Linked DNA regions of Anolis sagrei. The protein of the gene in region 2 purifies or fractionates together with the protein of the main gene of each other region. This does not show direct contact. Links are inferred from orthologs where the notes say so. Each region holds a gene or a part of one and is shown on either strand. Other genes may lie near its edges.

The links. Proteins that work in one complex are often made in the same cells at the same time.
Region 1: the proteins of COPB2 (region 2) and COPG1 purify together in Homo sapiens (co-immunoprecipitation; 8 studies listed by BioGRID and IntAct, counting the BioPlex papers as one, with this or other methods). This does not show direct contact. The link is inferred for Anolis sagrei from reciprocal best matches to the Homo sapiens genes COPB2 and COPG1.
Region 3: the proteins of COPB2 (region 2) and COPZ1 fractionate together in Homo sapiens (co-fractionation; 6 studies listed by BioGRID and IntAct, with this or other methods). This does not show direct contact. The link is inferred for Anolis sagrei from reciprocal best matches to the Homo sapiens genes COPB2 and COPZ1.

Annotation. Positions count from the first base shown.
Region 1 is NC_090022.1:56,476,831-56,484,215, forward strand, and holds the start of COPG1 (coatomer subunit gamma-1), read right to left. Parts: upstream 3,017-7,385; 5' UTR 2,802-3,016; coding exon 2,765-2,801; intron 1-2,764. UniProt on the Homo sapiens protein: The coatomer is a cytosolic protein complex that binds to dilysine motifs and reversibly associates with Golgi non-clathrin-coated vesicles, which further mediate biosynthetic protein transport from the ER, via the Golgi up to the trans Golgi network.
Region 2 is NC_090023.1:229,602,811-229,610,669, forward strand, and holds the start of COPB2 (coatomer subunit beta'), read right to left. Parts: upstream 3,011-7,859; 5' UTR 2,900-3,010; coding exon 2,897-2,899; intron 511-2,896; coding exon 373-510; intron 1-372. UniProt on the Homo sapiens protein: The coatomer is a cytosolic protein complex that binds to dilysine motifs and reversibly associates with Golgi non-clathrin-coated vesicles, which further mediate biosynthetic protein transport from the ER, via the Golgi up to the trans Golgi network.
Region 3 is NC_090022.1:188,474,487-188,481,544, forward strand, and holds the start of COPZ1 (coatomer subunit zeta-1), read right to left. Parts: upstream 3,017-7,058; 5' UTR 2,929-3,016; coding exon 2,911-2,928; intron 1-2,910. UniProt on the Homo sapiens protein: The coatomer is a cytosolic protein complex that binds to dilysine motifs and reversibly associates with Golgi non-clathrin-coated vesicles, which further mediate biosynthetic protein transport from the ER, via the Golgi up to the trans Golgi network.

The DNA of each region.
Region 1 (7,385 bases), on a different chromosome or scaffold from region 2:
TATTAGTTCAGTGTTGATCCCTGGAGAAACATCAACCACAAAAGTCTGCATAATTTGGGCCCATTTATTGGATGATAGGGATATCTCTTCCTTAGTGTGTATAGGCAACTATATACTATGGAAGGGTATATTCCTTTGAGGTGCTCTGTACTGAGGAGTGAAAATACATCTTCCATAACTACACACTTGTCCCCTGTTCTCCATAAAGAGATTTGTCAATACAGGTTAAGCATCCCTTAGCTGTATTTCCAAAATCCCCCAAAATCTGAAATTATTCACATGAGCAGCTGAGAGAGTTGCTTTCCAATGAGCTGATGTATAAAAACATTTGTTTCATCTTAGACAACATTGTATTAAACTAACTCCAGATTATGGATTAATTGTTAATTGATGCTTCATGCACAAAATTATTTTAAAATATTGGGTATCAAAATTAACTTCAGGCTATATGTCTAAGGTAAAGGTTTCCCCTTGACATTACGTCTAGTTGTGTCCAAGTCTGGGGGTTGGTGCTCATCTTCATTTCTAAGCCAAAGAGCTGGTATTGTCCCTAGACATCTCTAAGGTCATGTGGCTGACATGACTGCATGGAGTGCCGTTACCTTCCCGCAGGAACTGTACCTATTGATATATGCACATTTATGCCTGTGCTGGATGGGGTCGCACTCCCCTTGAAGGCGCAGGTTCGCAGCTTGGGTGTGACCCTGGACTCATCGTTGAGCCTGGATCCCCAGGTTTCAGCGGTGACCAGGGGAGCATTTGCACAGCTCAGGCTCGTGCGCCAGCTGCGCCCGTATCTCGGGAAGTCTGACTTGGCCACGGTGGTACACGCTCTGGTCACATCCCGCCTTGACTACTGCAACGCTCTCTACGTGGGGCTGCCCTTGAAGACGGCCCGGAAGCTTCAGCTGGTTCAGCGCGCGGCAGCCATGTTACTAACTGGAGCGGGAGGCAGGGAGCACACAACGCCCTTGTTGTCCCAGCTCCACTGGCTGCCGATTTGCTACCGGACCCAATTTAAAGTGCTGGTTTTGGCCTACAAAGCCCTAAACGGCTCCGGCCCAAAATACCTTTCGGACCGTATCTTGGCCTACGAGCCCACGAGGACCTTGAGATCGTCTGGGGAGGCCCTTCTCTCGATCCCGCCTGCCTCACAGGCACGTCTGGCGGGGACGAGGGAGAGGGCCTTCTCGGTGGTGGCCCCCCGGCTGTGGAACACTCTCCCTGCAGACATCAGACAGGCACCCTCCCTTATGTCCTTCCGAAAAAGCCTTAAGACATGGCTGTTCGAGAAGGCATTTAATTAAGTGCTATAAAAATGTGGTAAAGACGACTGGAAAGGAACAAGGAATATGAGATTGGTTATGATTCCACTATGAGACGAAGCGGATTTTTAGTGTAATTTTGTAATTGTTGTATTGTTAATATGTTGTTGTAATTGCCTCTTGGTAAATTGCCTTTTTATATGTGTTGTACACCGCCATGAGTCGCCCTAAAGGGCTGAGAATGGCGGTTAATAAATGCATCAAATAAATAAATAAATTTACATGTTTTCGATCTGCTAGGTTGGCAGAAGCTGGGGCTAACAGTGGGAGTTCACCCTGCTCTCTGGATTCAAACTGCTGACCTTTGGGTTGGAAAGTTCAGCAACTCAGCAGTTTTACCCGCTGAGCCACTGGGGGGACCCCATAAGGTGTATATGAAATATAAATAAAATTGGTGTTTCGGGGTGTGTCCTGTCTCCAAAATATCTCATGTACATTTATTTATTTCTATCCCGTTCCTTCTCAACCCCCGAAGGGGGACTCAGGACGGCTTACATTTGGCAGCAATTTGATGCCACTACATATAACAGAGCAATATAATAACAATTAAAACAATAAGTAAAACATTCATTAACACAGTAAAAAACAGTATTAATAGCCGTATCATCATTCCAGTCAATTCCATATCCAATTCCATGTCCAAAGTACTATCTATGTCTGTTGTCCAAAAGCCTGGTCCCAGAAACACAACTTCAATTTCTTCCTAAATGACAGGAGCATGCCAAAAACATAATAATAATAATAATAATAATAATAATAATAATAATAATAATAATGTTGTTGATGTCACAATCCCAGATGACAGCAGGATTGCAGAGAAACAACAGGAAAAGCTGACACAATATGAGGATTTAAAGATCGAACTGCAAGGACTCTGGCACAAGCCAGTCAAGGTGGTCCCAGTGATGATTGGCACACTGGGTGCAGTGCCTAAAGACCTTGGCCTGCACTTAAACACAGTCGGCGCTGACAAAATTACCATCTGCCAGCTGCAGAAGGCCACCTTACTGGGATCTGCACACATTATTCACCGATACATCACACAGTCCTAGTGCTTTTAGAGTGTTTAGGCTTGAGAAGGGACTGACATGTGATCTAATTAAACAGCCAGCAGAATAATCTTATCTGCTGTGGACTCATCTTGTTGTGTTTCAAATAATAATAATAATAATAATAATAATAATAATAATAATAATATCTAAAATCCAAACTACATCTGGGGAGCATCTACGCTATGATGTTAATACAGTTTGACACCACTTGAACTTTCCTAACTCAATGTTGTGGAATCATGGGAGTTGTAGTTGCCAAAGAGTGATGGTGGCTCACCAAACTGCAGCTCCCAGGATTCCATAGCATTGAGCCAAGGCAGCTAATGTGCTGTCAAACTGCATCAATTCTCCAGTATAGATGCACCCATGGTCCCCAGCATTACTCACCGGATTCCTCATCCTTTTTGTCGAATTTTTTCAGCATCTTGTCCCTTGGCAGAGGAGGGGTGGTGGAAGAGGAGGCAGACAACTCACCAGGAGGGAGGGAAGGGGAAAGGGCCCAAATAGAGAACAAGAGGAGGAGGAGGAGAAGGCAGCACCTGGCTCTGCCTGCAGCCCTGAAGAGTTCTACTTCCTGCCCGGGCGCCACTTCCTGCCAACATGACAACCCTGACTGGGCTCAGCTTTGACAGAAAGGCGCATGCGCACGCTGCGCTGGTGAGGCCCAAAGAGGGCTTACGTGGCTGACAGTGCGAGGGCGGAGCTTAGGGGAAAGGCGTGTGACGTCATCGATCCCTCAGCCAATAGCAGCGGGGAACGCTTCGTGGGGCGGAGCCATTGGAAGACCAAGCGTAGAACGTTAAGAATAGCACCTTCCCCCCCCTTCAACCCTGGAATTGTGGGAGTTGAAGTCCAAAACATCTGGAGGGCCGAAGTTTGCCCATGCCTGGCTTATGGGGAGGTGGGCAGAGTCTGTAGGAATGTCACACTATTCAGGTTGTTTTGCCCTTTCCTTCCTTTGAAAGATAACCTCCTGCCTAACTTCCTAGATCCACCAGAATCTAGTGCTTTTAGAGTGTTTAGGCATCGGGTTGTTGTAGGTTTTTTCGGGCTATATGGTCATGATCTAGAGGCATTTTCTCCTGACGTTTCGCCTGCATCTATGACAAGCATCCTCAGAAGTTGTGAGGTCTGTTGGAACTAGGGAAAAGGGTTTATATATCTGTGGAATGACCAGGGTGAGACAAAGGACTCTTGTCTGCTGGAGCTAGGTGTGAATGTTTCAACTGACCACCTTGATTAGCATACAATGGGTTGACTGTGCCTGGAGCAAACTTTTGTTGAGAGGTAATTAGATGTCGCTACCTGCTTCCTCTCTGTTATTGTGCTGTTGCAATTTTAGAGTTTTTTTTAATACTGGTAGCTAGATTTTGTTCACTTTCATGGTTTCTTCCTTTCTGATGAAATTGTCCACATGCTTGTGTATTTCAATGGCTTCTCTGTGTAGTCTGACATGGTGGTTGTGAGAGTGGTCATTCCACAGATATATAAACCCCTTTTCCTAGTTCCAACAGACCTCACTACCTCTGAGGATGCTTGCCATAGATGCAGGCGAAACATCAGGAGAAAATGCCTCTAGACCATGGCCATACAGCCCGAAAAAATCTACAACAACCCAGGGATTCCGGCCATGAAAGCCTTCGACAATATGTTAGGCATCATTTGGGAAGCCCTGTGGCATCAAATAAGATATCTCTGTATAATTTGCATTCAAAATAAGAGCTGAAAATAAACTTAATTTTGTCCTGTTTAGCAGTATGTTGGGAACAGTGTTTTTCTTAAGTGGAAGAGAAGGAAAACTTCCTTTCTAAGCACCTTCCATAAAGTTAACACCTTTTAAGGACTCCTTTTTATTGATCAGGCAGCACAAATAATTTGAATTGTTTTTCAGGGGGAAAAATTAAGTGGAAAGGTGAAAGAAAAAGAAATCCTACTCATTCTGATCAATTTGCATTCTTAAGGTTGTCATCTGTCTTTTTCTGGTAAGGTTTAATGCTTTTGAAAGCTTTTCCATTATGTTATTTCTATTTATTTATTTTATTTTGCTACTGTATGCATTTCATTCTGATGTAATTTTTGTTGTTTTGTATTTTGTATTTTATTTTGCTGTATTGTATGGCCATGAAATCAGAAGACGCTTACTTCTTGGGAGGAGAGCAATGTCCAGTCTCGATAAAATAGTAAAGAGTAGAGACATCAGACTGGCAACAAAGATCCGCCTAGTCAAAGCCATGGTATTCCCTGTCGTAACCTACGGATGTGAGAGCTGGACCTTAGGGAAGGCTGAGCGAAGGAAGATAGGTGCTTTTGAACTGTGGTGTTGGAGGAAAGTGCTGAAAGTGCTTTGGACTGCGAGAAGATCCAACCAGTCCATCCTCCAGGAAATAAAGCCCGACTGCTCACTGGAGGGAAGGATACTAGAGACAAAGTTGAAGTACTTTGGCCACATCATGAGGAGACAGCAAAGCCTAGAGAAGACAATTATGCTGGGGAAAGTGGAAGGCAAAAGGAAGAGGGGCCGGCCAAGGGCAAGATGGATGGATGGCATCCTTGAAGTGACTGGGCTGACCTTGAAGGAGCTGGGGGTGGTGACGGCCGACAGGGAGCTCTGGCGTGGGCTGGTCTATGAGGTCACGAAGAGTCGAAAACGACTGAACGAATGAACAACAATTTTATCTTTGGGCTTGGCCTCATGTTAACTGCCCTGAGTCCCCTCCGGGGAGATGATGGCAGGGTATAAATAAAGATTATTATTATTATTTTACTGAAACAAAAACACAGTATGTCACAGCAAACGAGATATACGTATATACTGGATTTCATATCACAAAATCACAAGCCGAACACTTCCCAAGCGTCTAGGACTGTGTGATATATTATTATTATTATTATTATTATTATTATTATTATTATAATTATTATAATTATTATAATTATTATAAATACAACAAGTTGAGTCCACAGAAAACACTCTGCTCGCTGTTGTATTGGATCACACGTTGGACACTTCCCAAGAGTGTAGGACTGTGTGATGTATCGGCGAATAATGCGTAGAGATTCCAGTAAGGTGACCTTTTGCAGCTGGCAGATGGTAATTTTGTCAATGCCAATTGTGTTTAAGTGCAGGCCAAGGTCTTTAGGCACTGCACCCAATATGCCAATCACCACTGGGACCACTTTTACTTGCTTGTGCCAGAGTCTTTGCAGTTCAATCTTTAAATCCTCATATCACCACTGGGACCACCTTGACTGGCTTGTGTCGGAGTCTTTGCATTATTATTATTATTATTATTATTATTATTATTATTATTTTGTGGACAGAAATCCAATATGAGGAGAGGAAGGGTAAAAAATAAAATAATTATAATTGTGTTGTCAAAGGCTCTCATGGCCAGAATCACTGGGTTGCTGTGAGTTTTCCAGGCCGTGTGGCCATGTTCCAGAAGCAGTTTTTCCTGACATTTCACCCACATCTATGGCAGGCAACCTCAGAGGTTGTGAGGTGTGTTGGAAACTAGGCAAGAGTTCTTTCTCCCACCCTGGATATTCCACAGATATATAAACTTCACTTGCCTAGTTTCTGACAGACCTCACAACCTCTGAGGATGCCTACCATAGATGTGGGTGAAATGTCAGGAGAAAATGCTTCTGGAACATGGTCATACAGCCTGGAAAACTCACAACAACCCAATAATTATAATTATTTTTTCATTCATGTAGTGTCCTTTTCTAAAGTTGTATATATAGTCACCTTAGGACTTTCCATTTGTTCTGAAAGAGACAATAAATTTTTCTGCAGTTTCCTGACCAGTGTGGCTTGTAAACCATGGCTAGGAAAAATGTGGCCCTCCAGATGTTATTACAGTGCCACATCCATCTTCCCGCATCACTGGCTATGATAAGTAGCACAGGTGGGAATTGGCATTCTGGAGATTGTGAATGATATTTGTCTAGATTTAAATCATTCTGACAACACAGAAAGATCAGACTGTGATGAAAATGACATTACACTCAAGTCTGGCTAGATAACTAATTTCCAGATTTGGGGTGCACGCACACTCAAGACTTAATGCAGTTTGACACCATTTATTAATTTACTATATTTATATACTGTCTTTCTCACCCCTGGGGAGACTCAGTGCAGTTTACAATATATTAATGGCAAAGATTCAATGCCAACATACAATAAAAAAAGAGATCATGATAACTAATTACTACATAATAACTAATAACTATGACTTAAAATAATTAAAACTAAACATAAGGCATAAACAAAATGTAAACATTCAGGTGACGCATTAAAATCATCCTAGTATAAATATTAAAATCACATGATCCAAAAATCGTGCACCATAGCCATTCCGATCGTCATTGCACATGTTCCTTAATTATTCTTTGTATTGCATTATTTTACTTGCCAAAGGCTTAGTCCCACAAACATGTCTTTGTTCTCTTTCTTTAACTGCCCTGGCTCAATGCTATGGAATCCTGGGAGTTGTAGTTTGTTGAGACATCAACACTATCCAGCAAAGAAGGCTAACGATCATGACTGTAAACCCACAACTTCCAATAACACACACTATTGAACCGTGCATTTAAGATGGCATCAAACTGGATTAATTCTACAGTGTAGACACACCCTTAGTCCCTGGATGTTGCTACGTTTCAACACAAGGATGCCTCAATCAATGCGATTAGCAATCAGGAATGATGTGAGTAATAGCCTTATCTAGGAATCCATATTGGGAATCTTGATCTCACCACCACCTGAGTTTGTTGCAGCTTGGATCTGAACAACAGAAATGAATGTGTTGATATCCTAGTATTAACGGGTTACAGAGGCCTTCCTTAACTTGCTGTCCACGTCACTGGCCTGGTGATTTAGGAATGATTGAAATTGTCCTCACAACCTCTGAGGATGCCTGCCATAAATGCAGGTGAAATATCAGGAGAGAATGCTTCTAGAACATAGCCATATAGGCCGAAAAACCTACAACCCATTGAAATT
Region 2 (7,859 bases):
ACAAAGATTAGACCTTACATTACTAATTTATGCAAATGTCTTTTAAAACCACCTAGACATGAAAAGCCACATTAAAATTTAGAATTTTCAGAAAAAGAAATAACTTACAAAAAAGTAAAAAAAAATGCTAAGGGAGAAACACTTACTTAATAAATCTTGGTCAGGGAATTAACTGAGAAAATGGCATAAGAAGTGAAATTATATCGATGTAATCGAGAAAGATGCTGTAATTGCTGTTAAATTTGGGGAAAAAACCACCACTGTGATTTTGACAACAGAATTCTTGCACCACATTTAATGGTGACCTCACATGTAGTAGCACACTAAAAAAACTATGGTTTTATAATCAACAAGTCTTATATGAAATCTTACCTGTGTTTCATGATTCCAGACACAGACACTGCCATTGTAAAGACTAGCCAACATCCATGGCTCTGTAGGATGTAAGTCTACACTTTTCACACGGTCAGATCGAGCTGTGAGCTTACGCTTTATATCAAGTCGGAGAGGCTAAAAAGAAGACAGTTGTTTAAGATATTTATGTCACAAGAAGGACCAATTCGAAACAACCAGTGATATTTATACAAGAGACACATTGCTTTGACCTCAACACAGTCAAAATCTTTCAGATATTGGCTTGAGTAACTCAAGAATCCATTCCAAACCAATACATACTACAAACGTGAACACATCTTTACTAGTCTCCACTGAAATATTCTTATGCAAAGCAAACATGCTGCCATATATCCATACTAAAGAGCTGGAGACTGTTTTGAATGCAAGATTTTTGCAAATATGAAAACTGTTAAGGAGAGATCCAAGATCTGGACGAAGGAGGCTACTGCCATTTTATAAAGTGGAACAGATAAAAAGGCAATATCATGTCCTTCATAAACTATGCACAACTTATATTAAAGTATAGAAAGGGAATGAAGAAGCATCAAGGGGATAGCTGTAATAAGTTAAAAATAGGCTAAATGTTCCTTAAGAACATTTATTTTTGTTTACAACAAAAAATATTAAGTTCATTTCAGACCTGTTGCTAACCACAATTGACAGGTCTGGACAAAATGAGCCACCACACATTCTTGACTGCTGGAGGTATTAATAATTATTGTTCTTTCTTAGGAAATGTGAATTAAAGCAAGAACTCAAGCATTTCCCTGAAATTGTACACATCCACAGATTAGTGGATCAAACAATAGATTGTGTAAACTCAGAGAATTTGCTTCTTTTGTTGCAACTTACTGAGTTGCTGCTTTCACTAAGATATTCACCATGACACATATTTGGGTCTCTACCTCACGAGGGCAGAATTGCGGGTTCTGAAATTTTAAAAAGTGGATTCTGATAAACCATTATGAAGACTTTCTTTTTACGTACACTTTTCGGACAGCAGAATGTTTCCAAAAGCAGTTGGCTCACCTTCATTAGAGATTTCTAATCAGAGATCAGTTGGTCATTTATTAGGGATGCTGTAATAGATGCTGCATCTCCAAGACAGAGTAAGGTATCATCCTTTCTAAAACACTGAATTGTGACTGTGCCCTCCAAAAAACTCTTTCCTGGTTAGCCACAACCAATTCTAACCCTATTGTGGGAGTTGATGTCCAAAACATCTGGAGGGCCCATGTTTGCCCATGCCTGATCAACAGTGTAGAATGAATGGAGTTTGATACCACTTTAACTACCATGGTTAGATGCTGGATGAGGCTTTTTAGTCTTTTCTGTTAAAGAATGCTGATGCCCTATCAAACTAAAACTCCCATGACTCCATTGCATTGAACCATAGTGTCAAACTGCATTCATTCTATGCTGCAGATGCCCCTAAGGGCCCTCCCACACAGCCCTATATCCCAGAATATGAAGGCAAAAAAAAAATCCCACATTATCTGAGTGTGGACTCAGATAATCCAGTTCAAAGCAGATATTGTGGATTGGGTTGTTGTAGGTTTTTCGGGCTATATGGCCATGTTCTAGAAGCATTCTCTCCTGACATTTCACCTGGATCTATGGCAGGCATCCTCAGAGGTTGTGAGGTCTTAGAATCTTAGAATCATAAGAGTTGAAAGAGACCTCATGGGCCATCCAGTCCAACCCCCTGCCAAGAAGGAGGAAAACTGTATTCACAGCACCCCTGACAGATGGCCATCCAGCTTCTGTTTAAAAGCCTCCAAAGAAGGAGCCTCCATGACACTCCAGGGCAGAGAGTTCCACTGCTGAACAGCTCTCAGTCAGGAAATTCTTCCTAATGTTCAGATGGAATCTCCTTTCTTGTAGTAGTAGCAGTAGTAATTTTATTGATTAGCCCTTAGGCCATATCACAATAAGAAACAGAACAACAAGGCCTTGTAGTTTGAAGCCATTGTTCTGTGTCCTAGTCTCCAGGGCAGCAGAAAACAAGCTTGCTCTCTCCTCCCTATGACTATGTCTCACATATTTATACATGGCCCTCATCATGTCTCCTCTCAGCCTTCTCATCTTCAGGCTAAACATGCCCAGCTCTTTAAGCCGCTCCTCATAGGGCTTGTTCTCCAGACCCTTGATCATTTTAGTTGCCCTCCTCTGGACACATTCCAGCTTGTCAAGATCTCTCTTGAATTGTGGTGCCCAGAATTGGACACAATATTCCAGGTGTGATCTGACCAAGGCAGAATAGAGGGGTAGCATGACTTCCCTGGATCAAGACAGGTCTTGTGGGATTTCCTGTGGGACATAGTGGGATTTCCTGGCTTGATATTCTTGGACATAGGGCTGTATGGAAGGGCCCTTAGAAAGGCCTTTCTCTCCCCCTTTCCCTCCCCAAACATCCATCCCTGCCCGAGGAAAAGGAGGGGCTCTGCAGAATGCCAAGCCAAGGCCCGTCTTGAGGAGGCCTTCAGGAGCCTGGACTCACCATGGCTTCAGCTCCCGCTCAGGGCTGCTTCAACCTCCCGAAGCTCCCAGGTTCGCTCACTGCCCAATTCACCGACGTGGAGCTTCCGGCTTTGGCTGTTCTCGCGAGAAATCCAAGCCAACGCGAAAACGCCAACTCAATCACTTCCGCCCAGTGCTCTTCGTTTGCGGAGGGAGGGAGCGAAAGAGACACAATAGATCTACGAAACGTATAGACTGCCCATTCATAGGGTTATTGAGGTTCTCCTTTTGGAATTATTATTATTATTATTACTAGCCATCCCCTGCCACGCGTTGCTATGGCCATGTCTAGTGATCTGGGAAATAAAGTAACGAGAAAGTGTTGGTTTCTAATACATGTAATTTCTTTATGCTTGTGGGTAAACAGTATTTCTTGTTGTTTCTTTGTCAGTGTTGATGTGGAGAGTGTCTGATTTGCCTTCTCTGGAACATGCAACATATAATTGTCCTTTTTTAGGGGTCCCTTTCAAATCTATGATACTATATTTGATACTATATCTCTCTGTGTGTGAATCATATATATATATATATATCTACATCTATGGCTGGATGGCTCTTTGTCAGGAGGGCTTTGATTATGTTTTCTTGCCCTGGTGAAGGGAGTTGGACTGCATGGCCTTAAGTATTTTTTGTTGGTCATGGGGGTTCTGTGTGGGAAATTTGCCCCAATTCTGTCGTTCGTGGGGTTCAGAATGCTCTTTGGGACCTTGACTCCCAAATGTCAAGGTCCCAACTCCCAGTAACTACAACTCCCCCAAGCTCCATCTGTGTTCCTAGTTGGGCATATGGAATATTCGTGCCAAGTTTGAACATTATGAACATTACATTTTTATTTATATAGACCAGACGTCCCCTCCCATGCATTGCTATGGCTCAGTCTTGTGATCGGGAAAATAAAGTAATGAGAAAGTGTTGGTTTCTAATATATGTAATTTCTTTATGCTTGTGGGTAAACAGTATTTGATTATGTTTTCTTGCCCTGGTGAAGGGAGTTGGACTGGATGGCCTTAAGTATTTTCTATTGGTCATAGGGGTTCAGTGTGGGAAGTTTGCCCCAATTCTATTGTTCGTGGGGTTCAGAAAGTTCTTTGATTGTAGGTGAACTGTAAATCCCAGTAATTACAACTCCCAAATGTCAAGGTATATTTTCCCCAAGCTCCATCTGTGTTCCTAGTTGGCCGTATGGAATATTCGTGCCAAGTTTGGTCCAGAGCTATCCTTGTTTGAGTCCACAGTGCTCTCTGGATGTTGATGTACTACAACTCCCAAACTCAACGCCAATGCCCAGCAAACCCTTCCAGTATTTTCTGTTGGTCATGGGAGTCCTGTGTGCCACGTTTGGTTCAATTCCATCATTGGTGGAGTTCAGAATGTTCTTTGATTGTAGGTGAACTATAAATCTCAGCAACTACAACTCCCAAATGACAAACTCTATTATTTTTTTTTTGAGTGATGGTCACTCCTTGGGTTAGTAGGTGCCTTGTGGCCAAATTTGGTGGCAATTAATCCAGTGGTTTTTTGAGTTATGTTAATCCCACAAACGAACGTTACATTTTATATAGATTACTAGCCACCCCCTGCCACATGTTGCTGTGGCCCAGTCTTGTGATCTGGAAAATAAAGTAAAGAGAAAGTGTTGGTTTCTAATATATGTAATTTCTTTATGCTTGTGGGTAAACAGTATTTCTTGCTGTTTCTTTGTCAGTGTTGATGTGGAGAGTGTCTGGTTTGCCTGCTCTAGAGCATACAACATAGAATTGTCCTTTTTTAGGGGTCCCTTTCAAATCTATAGTTGTGTGTGTGTGAATCATATCTATATCTATGGCTGGATGGCTCTTTGTCAGGAGGGCTTTGAGTACGTTTTCTTGCCCTGGTGAAGGGAGTTGGACTGGATGGCCTTAAGTATTTTCTGTTGGTCATGGGGGTTCTGTGTGGGAAGTTTGCCCCAATTCTATTGCTAGTGGGATTCAGAATGCTCTTTGATTGCAGGTGTACGATAAATCCCAGTAACTACAACTCCCAAATGTCAAGGTCTATTTCCCCCAAGCTCCATCTGTGTTGGGCATATGGAATTCCTAGTTGGGCATATGGAATATCCGTGCCAAGTTTGGTCCAGATCCATCATTGTTTGAATCCACAGTGCTCTCTGGATGTCGATGTACTACAACTCCCAAACTCAATGTCAATGCCCAGCAAATCCTTCCAGTATTGTCTGTTGGTCATGGGAGTCCTGTGTGCCATGTTTGGTTCAATTCCATTGTTAGTGGAGTTCAGAATTCTCTTTGATTGTAGGTGAACTATAAATCCCAGCAACTACAACTCCCAAATCACAAACTCAATTTTTTTTTAGTGATGGTCCTTGGGTCACTAGGTGTCTTGTGGCCAAATTTGGTGTCAATTCATCCAGTGGTTTTTGAGTTATGTTAATCCCACAAACAAACATTACATTTTATTTATATAGATAATAATTATTATTATTTTACTGTTTTACTGTATTCATCAAGAGCTGTCTTTTCCCCCAAGGAACTATTTAACAGCTTCATGACATCCATACTTAGCTGGAAGCAAGTTCCGCTCAAGGTGAAGAATTCTTTTAAATTCAAAACCATTTTATGCCCTATTGATTCTTCCATTTCCTTCTGTACCTTATTATAAAATTTTTGTACTCTGTCACATTTCCACCAGTATAGGAGCCATTTTTTCCACATCTGTGCCAACCCAATTTTGAGGTTGATTTAGTTATGTGTGCTAATTTAATTGGGGTTCTGTACCATTTAGTCAATATTTTCCTTTGTGTTTCTCTAATCCTTATGTACTTGATATGTTTAATTGAATTGATTGATCCAGTATTCAGTGTCTGAATCATTGTTATTCAGGTCCTCTTTCCATATCTCTACCAATATTTGTTTCAATTTATATCGATTTCCAACAAATTTCTTGTATATTAAACCCATCAGGCCTTTCTCCTTTTCTAATTTTAACTTTAAAATTAGATCAAAATCTGTTTCTGGGCCTTCATTTTTCCTCCAATTCATGATCCTTTGTTTCAGTCCATTCCAAAGAAGCCAGTTACAATGACAACAATTGTCCATAATTGTCTCATCTGGGTTTAGGAAATCTCTTATCAATTTTTATCCATTTTGTTTTAAATTTGTAGGCTGTTAGGAATTGTGGGAGTTGAAGTCCAAAACACCTGGAGGGCCAAAGTTTGCCCATGCCTGCTCTAGATCATCTTAACAGTTCTACTACTTTTTCAAGAAACTTTTGTATACCTGTGTTGTCCTATTACTGGGTTTTTTGTTATCTGCTTTTTATTTTTAAACTTCTGTCTTTCAGTGTGATTGTTGCACACAGGCACACAAACGAATTTCTAATTCATGCTTACAGCACATACTGCATTTTATGTTTGAATTGTAGAATGATCACAATGGTGTCATATCATTGCACAACTGGGACAAACCCTGCGGTTTGTGTTAAATAATGTATTTCAACTTTGCCTTTGATGAGCCCTAGGCTATACTTGTAAGGCTTAATCTTAGCTATTATGCTTTGTAGTTTAAATAAATTCCTCTGAATCCAGTGGACTGGGAATAAAGCTACTATTTTACATACATATAGCCTGAATATGATCTATTGAAAACAGTGAGACTTTCTTCTGAGTAGCTGTGCACAAGATTTTATTTTTTTTCCTTATTTTTTTATTTAACAGTTGAAAATCTTCATTAGGTAGAGTCATTGCAGTAGTGTCATTTCGTAAAGACATTTTTTGAATTCAGCAGGAGCAGAACTTGTTTCAAAGTGTTATCTGATCCTTTTTATAAAAATGTAACAAGATTTTTAGAGAGATAACATGGAAGTTGTATCAGTCTTAAGAGTGGCTTCCACAATCATTAGAACCGACAGTCAAGGATTCTAGGATCCAAAATTCAACACTGTAGAACCCACAGCTTAGTACCACTAATCTAACAGTTCACTCCAAGGGTGCATCTACACCAGTGGTTCCCAGCCTTTGAGCCTCCAGGTGTTTTTGACTTCAGCTCCCACAGTTTCTAACAACTGGTAAGCAGGCTGGGATTTCTGGGAGTTGAAGACCAAAACACCTGGCGGCCCAAACCATTGAGCTACACTGAACAATTAATGAGAGTTGTAGTTTTACAAGGTCTTTAGCCTTCTAAAGAATGCTGGTGCCCAAACAAACTGCAGCTTTCGAGATGTAATATATTACCCAATGGTAGGAAATCTGGGATCTGTAGTTTGGTGAGGCCCCAGATTCTTTGCCGGAGAAGATGAAAGACCTTGTAAAACTACGACTTCCATAGTTCTACAGTATTGAGCCATGGCAGTTAAAGTGATGTCATATTGCATTAATTCTACAATATTGATGCACCTCTAGTCCTATTGCATTCGTTTATCACAATTCTTATTTTCAGTAGGACCTAATTCTCAGGCATGTAAATACAGAATTACAGCTTCAGTAAATTAATCCATCACAACAAATACCAGCTACAGTGTATACAGTTTTTATAGCTACTTAATCTTAATTGTTGCTGCAGAGGTTGCACTTATAGGCCTGTATCAATACTGTAGAATTAAAACAGTTTGACCCCACTTTAACTGCCATGGCCCAATGCTATAGAACCCTGGTATTTGTAGTTGGTTGAGGCATTAGCACTTTTTGGCAGATGACTTTGTGAAACTACAACTCCTTGGATTCCAAAGCATTGAGTCATGGCAGTTAAAGCGGTGTCAAACTGCATTAATTCTACAGTGTAGATGTATCCTAGGGTAAAATATCTGAGGCTTCCCTAATTGCTGCTAAAGTGTACTAAGAACTTTCATCATACCCAGCCAGGCCAGTCAAAAGATTTCATAGATTTTGAGCTTATCTATGTTGAAAGTTTGGAACTGCCTTGTAAAAATTCCATCCCCTAGATTCTAGGTCT
Region 3 (7,058 bases), on a different chromosome or scaffold from region 2:
GGACTGCTAAAAAGACATATGAATGAGTCCTAGAGCAAATCAAACCTGAACTCTCCCGAGAAGTCAAGATTGCTAAACCGAGACTGTTATACAAATCATGAGAAGGTATGACTCATTAGAAAAGACAGTAATGCTTGGTAAGGTGCAAACACTTAAAGACAAAGTCCACATTCCAGGTGGTTAGACTCAAGCAAAAAAGCCACCAACTTGAGCCTGAAAAATCAGATGAGGATAGAGTGAATTGGTGGTCTCTCATTCATAGGGTTGCCATAAGTCAATGTACAGTTGGCAACAGTTAACAGCGAAGTCCATAATCTGTACAGAACTAATAGCTCAGCAACTAAACAAGGCCCCATCTAAACTGACAATTTAATTCAGTTCAATGTTCGATTCAAACTGTAGCTGCCTGATAACAAACTCCTACAAAAGTACACAAAAGAAAGCCCTTAAGCTTTGTGTAGTCACTATCCGGGCCTCCAACTGGTTCCAGGATTTCCTGGAACCAGTCAACACTGGTTTGAAACTGCATTAAACAGTCATTGTAGTTTGGATATTCTATGAAGTAAAGATAAGTCTACAACAATCATATGTGTATGGCATCGCAATCTTAAGAATGTAGTCTAAAGCTGTAAGATATAGGACACCAGCAACCTTTCCTCCTAATGTGCAATGGATTGGCCCAATATTTGTGCCCAATGACAACTGTTTCTTATTTTCCTAGACCCTCTCTAACTTGCAGATCAGCACCAGCCCATGGACTACTGCTTTGGACAACACTGCCTCTAAGTCCTGTAATAATCAAATGCTTGGTGAGTCATGTTAACTTCAGCAGTGGACACATACACACAGCCCTCATTAGTAATTGTCTGAAGCCCCAGCATTTCCTATAACAGTTTCAGGTTCTTTTAATATAGGGTTACAATGCTGCATTACAAATGAACACAAGCAACAACTTCTATGGAGGATCTCTGTGAGGAAAACTAACCAAGGCCCCTTCCACACAGCTGAATAAAATTCCACATTATCTGTTTGAACTGGAATATATGGCAGGGTGGACTCAGATAACCCAGTTCAAAGCATAAATTGTGAGATTTTCTGTCTTGATATTCTGTGTTTTATGGTGATGTGGAAGGGCCCTAAGGCCTCATCTACAAGGCCATATAATCCAGTTTCTGAATCCAATTTATCTGTTTTGAATTGTTATATGTTATATGGCAGTGTAGACTCATATAATCAAAAGCAGATAATCTGGATTCACAAACTGGATTATTTGGCAGTGTAGATCCAGCATAATGGGAGACCAATTATGGTGACAGGTTGAGTATCCCTTATTTGAAAAGCTTGAGACAAGAAGTGTTTTGGATTTTGGAATAGCTGTATTTGAATATACACCCAACATGTGGTATCTTCAAAAGCAGGGATCCCAATCTAAACATGAAATGTATATACATTGCTGGTGGTATTTTAAGCACAATATTTTTAATAATGAAAGTAAGTTCACAGAACACAGTTTGTCTGTACATAAGGTTTTAAATTCTCTGTGTTATTGTTTATATGTGAGTTATATTAATTGCACTGTTTATTTGCTTGCTGTTTTGGTTTTACTGATGTGTTGTTGGGCTTGGCCTCATGTAAGCCACCCCGAGTACCCTTGGGGAGATGGTGGTGGGGTATAAATAGTTTTTTTAAAATTATTATTATTATTATTATTATATTGTCTAAACTGAAGCACCCACAAAGAGGACAATGTCTCAGGTACTCAGGTGGATAATTTGGGAGTATTTCCAGATACCCAACAAGGGATGCTCAACCTGTACCAGCTGATGGACTCTTCTCTTGGGAGTGATCTCCCTTTTCAAGGAGGCACAATTGAGATGAATAACATAGAATCATAGAATCAAAGAGTTGGGAGAGACCTCATGGGCCATCCAGTCCAATCCCCTGCCAAGAAGCAGGAATATTGCATTCACATCACCCCTGACAGATGGCCATCCAGTCTCTGTTTAAAAGCTTCCAAAGAAGGAGCCTCCACCACACTCCGGGGCAGAGAGTTCCACTGCTGAACGGCTCTCACAGTCAGGAAGTTCTTCCTCATGTTCAGATGGAATCTCCTCTCTTGTAGTTTGAAGCCATTGTTCCGCATCCTAGTCTCCAGGAAAGCAGAAAACAAGCTTGCTCCCTCCTCCCTGTGACTTCCTCTCACATATTTATACATGGCTATCATCTTTTTGGATTGGCCGATTTGTTTCGCCTGTCACCCATGGGGATTGGAAGATGCTGGAGAAATGTAGTTCCTAGTTTATAGGGAGCAAAGGGGCACTTTATTCCTGCCTTATAATAGTTGGGAGTTCAAAGGATCCATTCACTGCAGAGGCAATGAGTGCCTTGACTAGACTTAAAAACAGTTTTGTCTTCACATTTCTGCTCTATGGTCATATAGATAAGGCTACCTCTTCAGCTGCCACGGCTCCCTGGGAGTTGTAGTTTTACAAGGCCTTGCCAATGGTCCTCAACATGTAGGTCCCCAAATGGGGCCTTCAACTCCCAGAAATCCTAACAGCTGGTAAACTGGCTGGGATTTCTGGGAGTTGTAGGCCAAAACACAATGGTTGGGAACCATTGCTTGGGCCTTCTTTGGCCAGAGGGCTGGGACCTCACCAAACTACAGCTCCCAGACTCCACAGCATTGAGCCATGGCAGCCAAAGTGGCGTCAAGCTGTCTTTAATTCCATAGCGGGGGAAGCGGCCCCTCTGTTCCCTGCTGGAGGCCCCCTTCCCAGCCCAGGCCCGGACCCAAGGAGGCCCCCAGCAACCGGCGACGGGCCCCGCCCACCGGGTCCCGTCTCCATGGCGACGGCGCGCGCCCTCGCAAGGCCCCTTCTCCCCCTCTCTTGCCCCTCCGGCTCCTACCAGGATCAGCGCCTCCATCTTGGTCGCTTCTGATGCCGACGTGGAGCACGGACCTAGCTTGCACCGGATTGGCTGGCCTCGGGCCCGTCTCTCCGTTAGGCCCCGCCTTCGCCGCGCTGAGCGACTGCTGATTGGCCGCCTCTCGACTTCCTCGTCTAACCTGCCACCTCTTTCACCAGGGCTGCCTTTTCCCTCACTGCACAACAGGGAGGGGGCGTGGCTCGCCTTGAAGCCCCGCCTCCGTTTGTGATTCGAAAACGAAGCTGTCACTCACTTGCCCTCGCTTCCCAGCTACAGGAAGGAAAGAATGCGCCAGTTTCCATGGTGAAGAGGGAAGCTCTTAAGGCAGAGGCAGGATTGGGGCCTGGCTCAGACACGTGCTTGAAATTTATTTTATTTTTATTTATTTGTCGTGTCAGGACAACCAGTCAAATTATATTACATTTCTAACAGAACAAAGCAAACAAACAGACAAAATACAAAATGTGTGAGTTTGGTCGTTGATTAAATGTCCTTTGACCAGTATCTGGCCACTTGGAGTGCCTCTGGTGTTGCTGCAAGAAGGTCCTCCATGGTGCATGTAGCAGGGGTCAGGTTGCATTGCAGCAGGTGGTCAGTGGTTTGCTCTTCTCCACACTCGCATGTCGAGGATTCCACTTTGTAGCCCCATTTCTGAAGGTTGGCTCTGCATCTCGTGGTGCCAGAGCGCAGTCTGTTCACTCAGTTTTCTGTGTGCCCAGGAGGGAGTCTCTCATTTGGTATCAGCCATTGATTTGAGGTTCTGGGTTTTAGCCTGCCACTTTTGGACTCTCGCTTGCTGAGGTGTTCCGGCGAGTGTCTCTGTAGATCTTAGAAAACTATTTCTAGATTTAAGTCATTGATGTGCTGGCTGATACCCAAACAGGGGATGAGCTGGAGATGTCACTGCCTTGGTCCTTTCACTATTGGCTGCTACTTCCCGGCGGATGTCAGGTGGTGCAATACCGGCTAAGCAGTGTAATTTCTCCAGTGCTGTAGGGCGCAGACACTCCGTGATAATGTGGCATGTCTCATTAAGAGCCACATCCACGGTTTTAGTGTGGTGAGATGCGTTCCACACTGGGCATGCATACTCAGCAGCAGAGTAGCACAGCGCAAGGGCAGATGTCTTCACTGTATCTGGTTGTGATCCCCGGGTTGTGCCAGTCAGCTTTCGTATGGTATTGTTTTTAGCACCCACTTTTTGCTTGATGTTCAGGCAGTGCTTCTTGTAGGTCAGAGCATGGTCCAGAGTGACTCCCAGGTATTTGGGTGCGCTGCGATGCTCCAGTGGATTCCTTTCCAGGTGATCTTCAGAGCTCGGGATGCTTCTCTGTTCTTGAGATGAAAGGCACATGTCTGTGTTTTAGATGGGTTGGGGATCAGCTGGTTTTCCCTGTAATAGGCAGTAAGAGCACCTAGAGCTTCGGAAAGCTTCTGTTCTACCATCTCAAAGCTCCCTGCTTGAGCAGTAATGGCACGATCGTCAGCATAGATGAAATTCTCTGTCCCTTCTGTTTGAAATAATATCATACGAAAGCTGAATGGCACAACCTGGGGATTTATTTATTTAGTGTCAAAAGCATTGCATAAATTAGTATCTATATAAATAAAAATATAATGTTCGTTTGTGGGATTAACATAACTCAAAAACCACTGGATGAAATGACACAAAATTTGGACCCAACACTCCAAACAGACCAATGAGTGACCATCACTCATACTCCCCATCCAAAAAAAAAAAAAAAAAACCAGTGGAAAGGACTTAAAACCTCCCAAAAGATAAATGACGAAAAGATAAATTACATACAGAAAAAAAGGGAAGGAAGAGGGAGAGAAGGAAGGGGAAAAGAAAGAAGGAAACAAAGAGCGAAGGACGGAAAGGTAGAGAAGGAAGAAAGAGGAAGGATGGAAAGAAATGGGGAGAGAAAAAAGGAAGGAGAGAAGGAAAGAAAAGAAAGGAAGGAAAGAGGGAGCGAAGGAAGAAGAGAAAGAAAGAGAAAGAAGGAGGGAAGGAAAGACAAAAGGAAGGAAGGAAGCAAAAAGCAAAGGAAGGAAGGAAAGAGGCAGAGAAGGAAGGAAGAAAGGGAAGGAAAAGAAAAAGGGAGGAAGGAAAGCAGAAGAAGGAAGGAAGGAGAGAAGGAAAGAAGAAAAGGGAAGGAGGGAAAGAAGGAGAGAGAGGGAGTGAATGTTGGCCACAGCAACGCGTGGCAGGTACAGCTAGTCAAACTGATAAAAATAGAAAGAGCGCAGGCGGCTAAATATCTTTTGACTAAAAATGGGCCTCCAACAATTTTTCCTCTGTACATGAGGCAGGGCATAGTGGACAAGCATACAGATGCAGAGTTGTATGTTCACACAAGGTGTGGGATTCTTTTAGTTAGTGCCATTTTGCCAGATTATCTTTTGATCTGCCCACTCCGCTTCTGAGTCTATTCAGGGACTTCCAAGTTGCCCGCTCTTGGAGGAAGACCCTCATGGAGGCCATCCAGTTGGAATTTCTTCGTTTAGCTGCCCAGAGGGATACCCTTGCTGTTGCTGGGGGGACGCCAAGAGGAGTGGTAGTTTTTTTTGGGGGGGGGGATAGCTTGTAGAGTTTGTCAACAGGTGTAAGCTTAAGACATCCTGTGATTATTCTGCATGTTTAGTTCAATGCTATGTTCACCGGCTTTGCATGGGCAGACTTATGCCAAACTTATTCCAAACAGGGCAGGCAAGGCATACTCGGCAGTTGAGTTAGACAAGGCTAGGGCTGATGTTCTTATTAATTTTGGGTCTGCACCCCATGTTCTGCCAGCACATTTCCGCAGGATGTTATTGTGTGCAGCTACTTCGTGCTTGGTGTTCAAGCAGTGTTTCCTATATGCTAGTGTTCGATCTAAGGTGACACCGAGATATTTAGGATGGAAACAGTGTTCAAGCCCTTGACCTTCTCTTGACCACAACCTGGAGATCACAACCAGAGACAATGAAGGCATCTGCCCTTATGCTTTGCTACTTTGCTGCTGAATACGCATGCCCAGTGTTATTATTGTTATTATTAATAATTATTTATTACAGTCTATGACCAGCACACTACAGAATGGAGCCCAGGGGTCCAAGGAAGGAAATCGCAGTTCCCAAGTAAGTCAGATAAAAAAGCAGATTTGTAGTTTAGGGAAGATCCAAGCAGTCCATAATCCAGGAAATAAAGCCTGACTGGAGGAAAGGATAGTAGAGGCAAAAATGAAGTACTTTTGCCACATAATGAGAAGACAGGAAAGTTTGGAGAAGACAATGATGCTGGGGAAAATGGAAGGAAAAAGGAAGACGGGCCGACCAAGGGCAAGATGGATGGATGGTATCCTTGAAGTGACTGGCTTGTCTCTGAAGTAGCTGGGGGTAATGACGGCCGACAGGGAGCTCTGGCGTGGGCTGATCCATGAGGTTACAAAGTCAGAAGCAACTGAATGAATAAACAACAAATATTAAAAGATATAAAGCTCATAAAAACAGTTCAACTAAAATAATACACCACTCCCAAAGCCCATTAATTAAAACATTTAAAAGCCTACCTGAGCAAAAAGCCATCAGACTAAACTACAAGACTGTAGAATTAATGCAACTTGATATCACTTTGGGCCCTTCCATACAGCCCTATATCAAGGCAGAAAACCCCCACATTATCTGAGTGTGGATTGAGATAACCCAGTTCAAAGCAGATATTGTGAGATTTTCTGCCTTCTGGGATATAGGGCTGTGTGGAAGGGCCCTTTGACTGTTGTGGCTCAATGCTATAGAATCACATGAGTTGTAGTTTTACGTCTTTAGCTTCTCCAACAAATAATGCTGGGGGCTCACTAAACTCCAACTATCATGATTCCATACTATAGAGCCATAGCAGCTAAAATGGAGTCAAACTGCATTAATTCTACAGTGTAAAAGAGCCCCTCTTGTGTCCCCACCAACAATGCTTGTGATGATGGTGGGGCTGTGAAGGGCTCCTTCTGATGATCTTATATTATGGTACATTGTTTCCAAGCCTTTGTGCTGTTTTTGTTTTGTTTTGGTTTTTTTTGTCATCAAAAAACAGGGAAATGCCTCTTTGAGAGGTTAGAGGCAGTAAGAGGTTTTTTCAGCCCCAATATGCA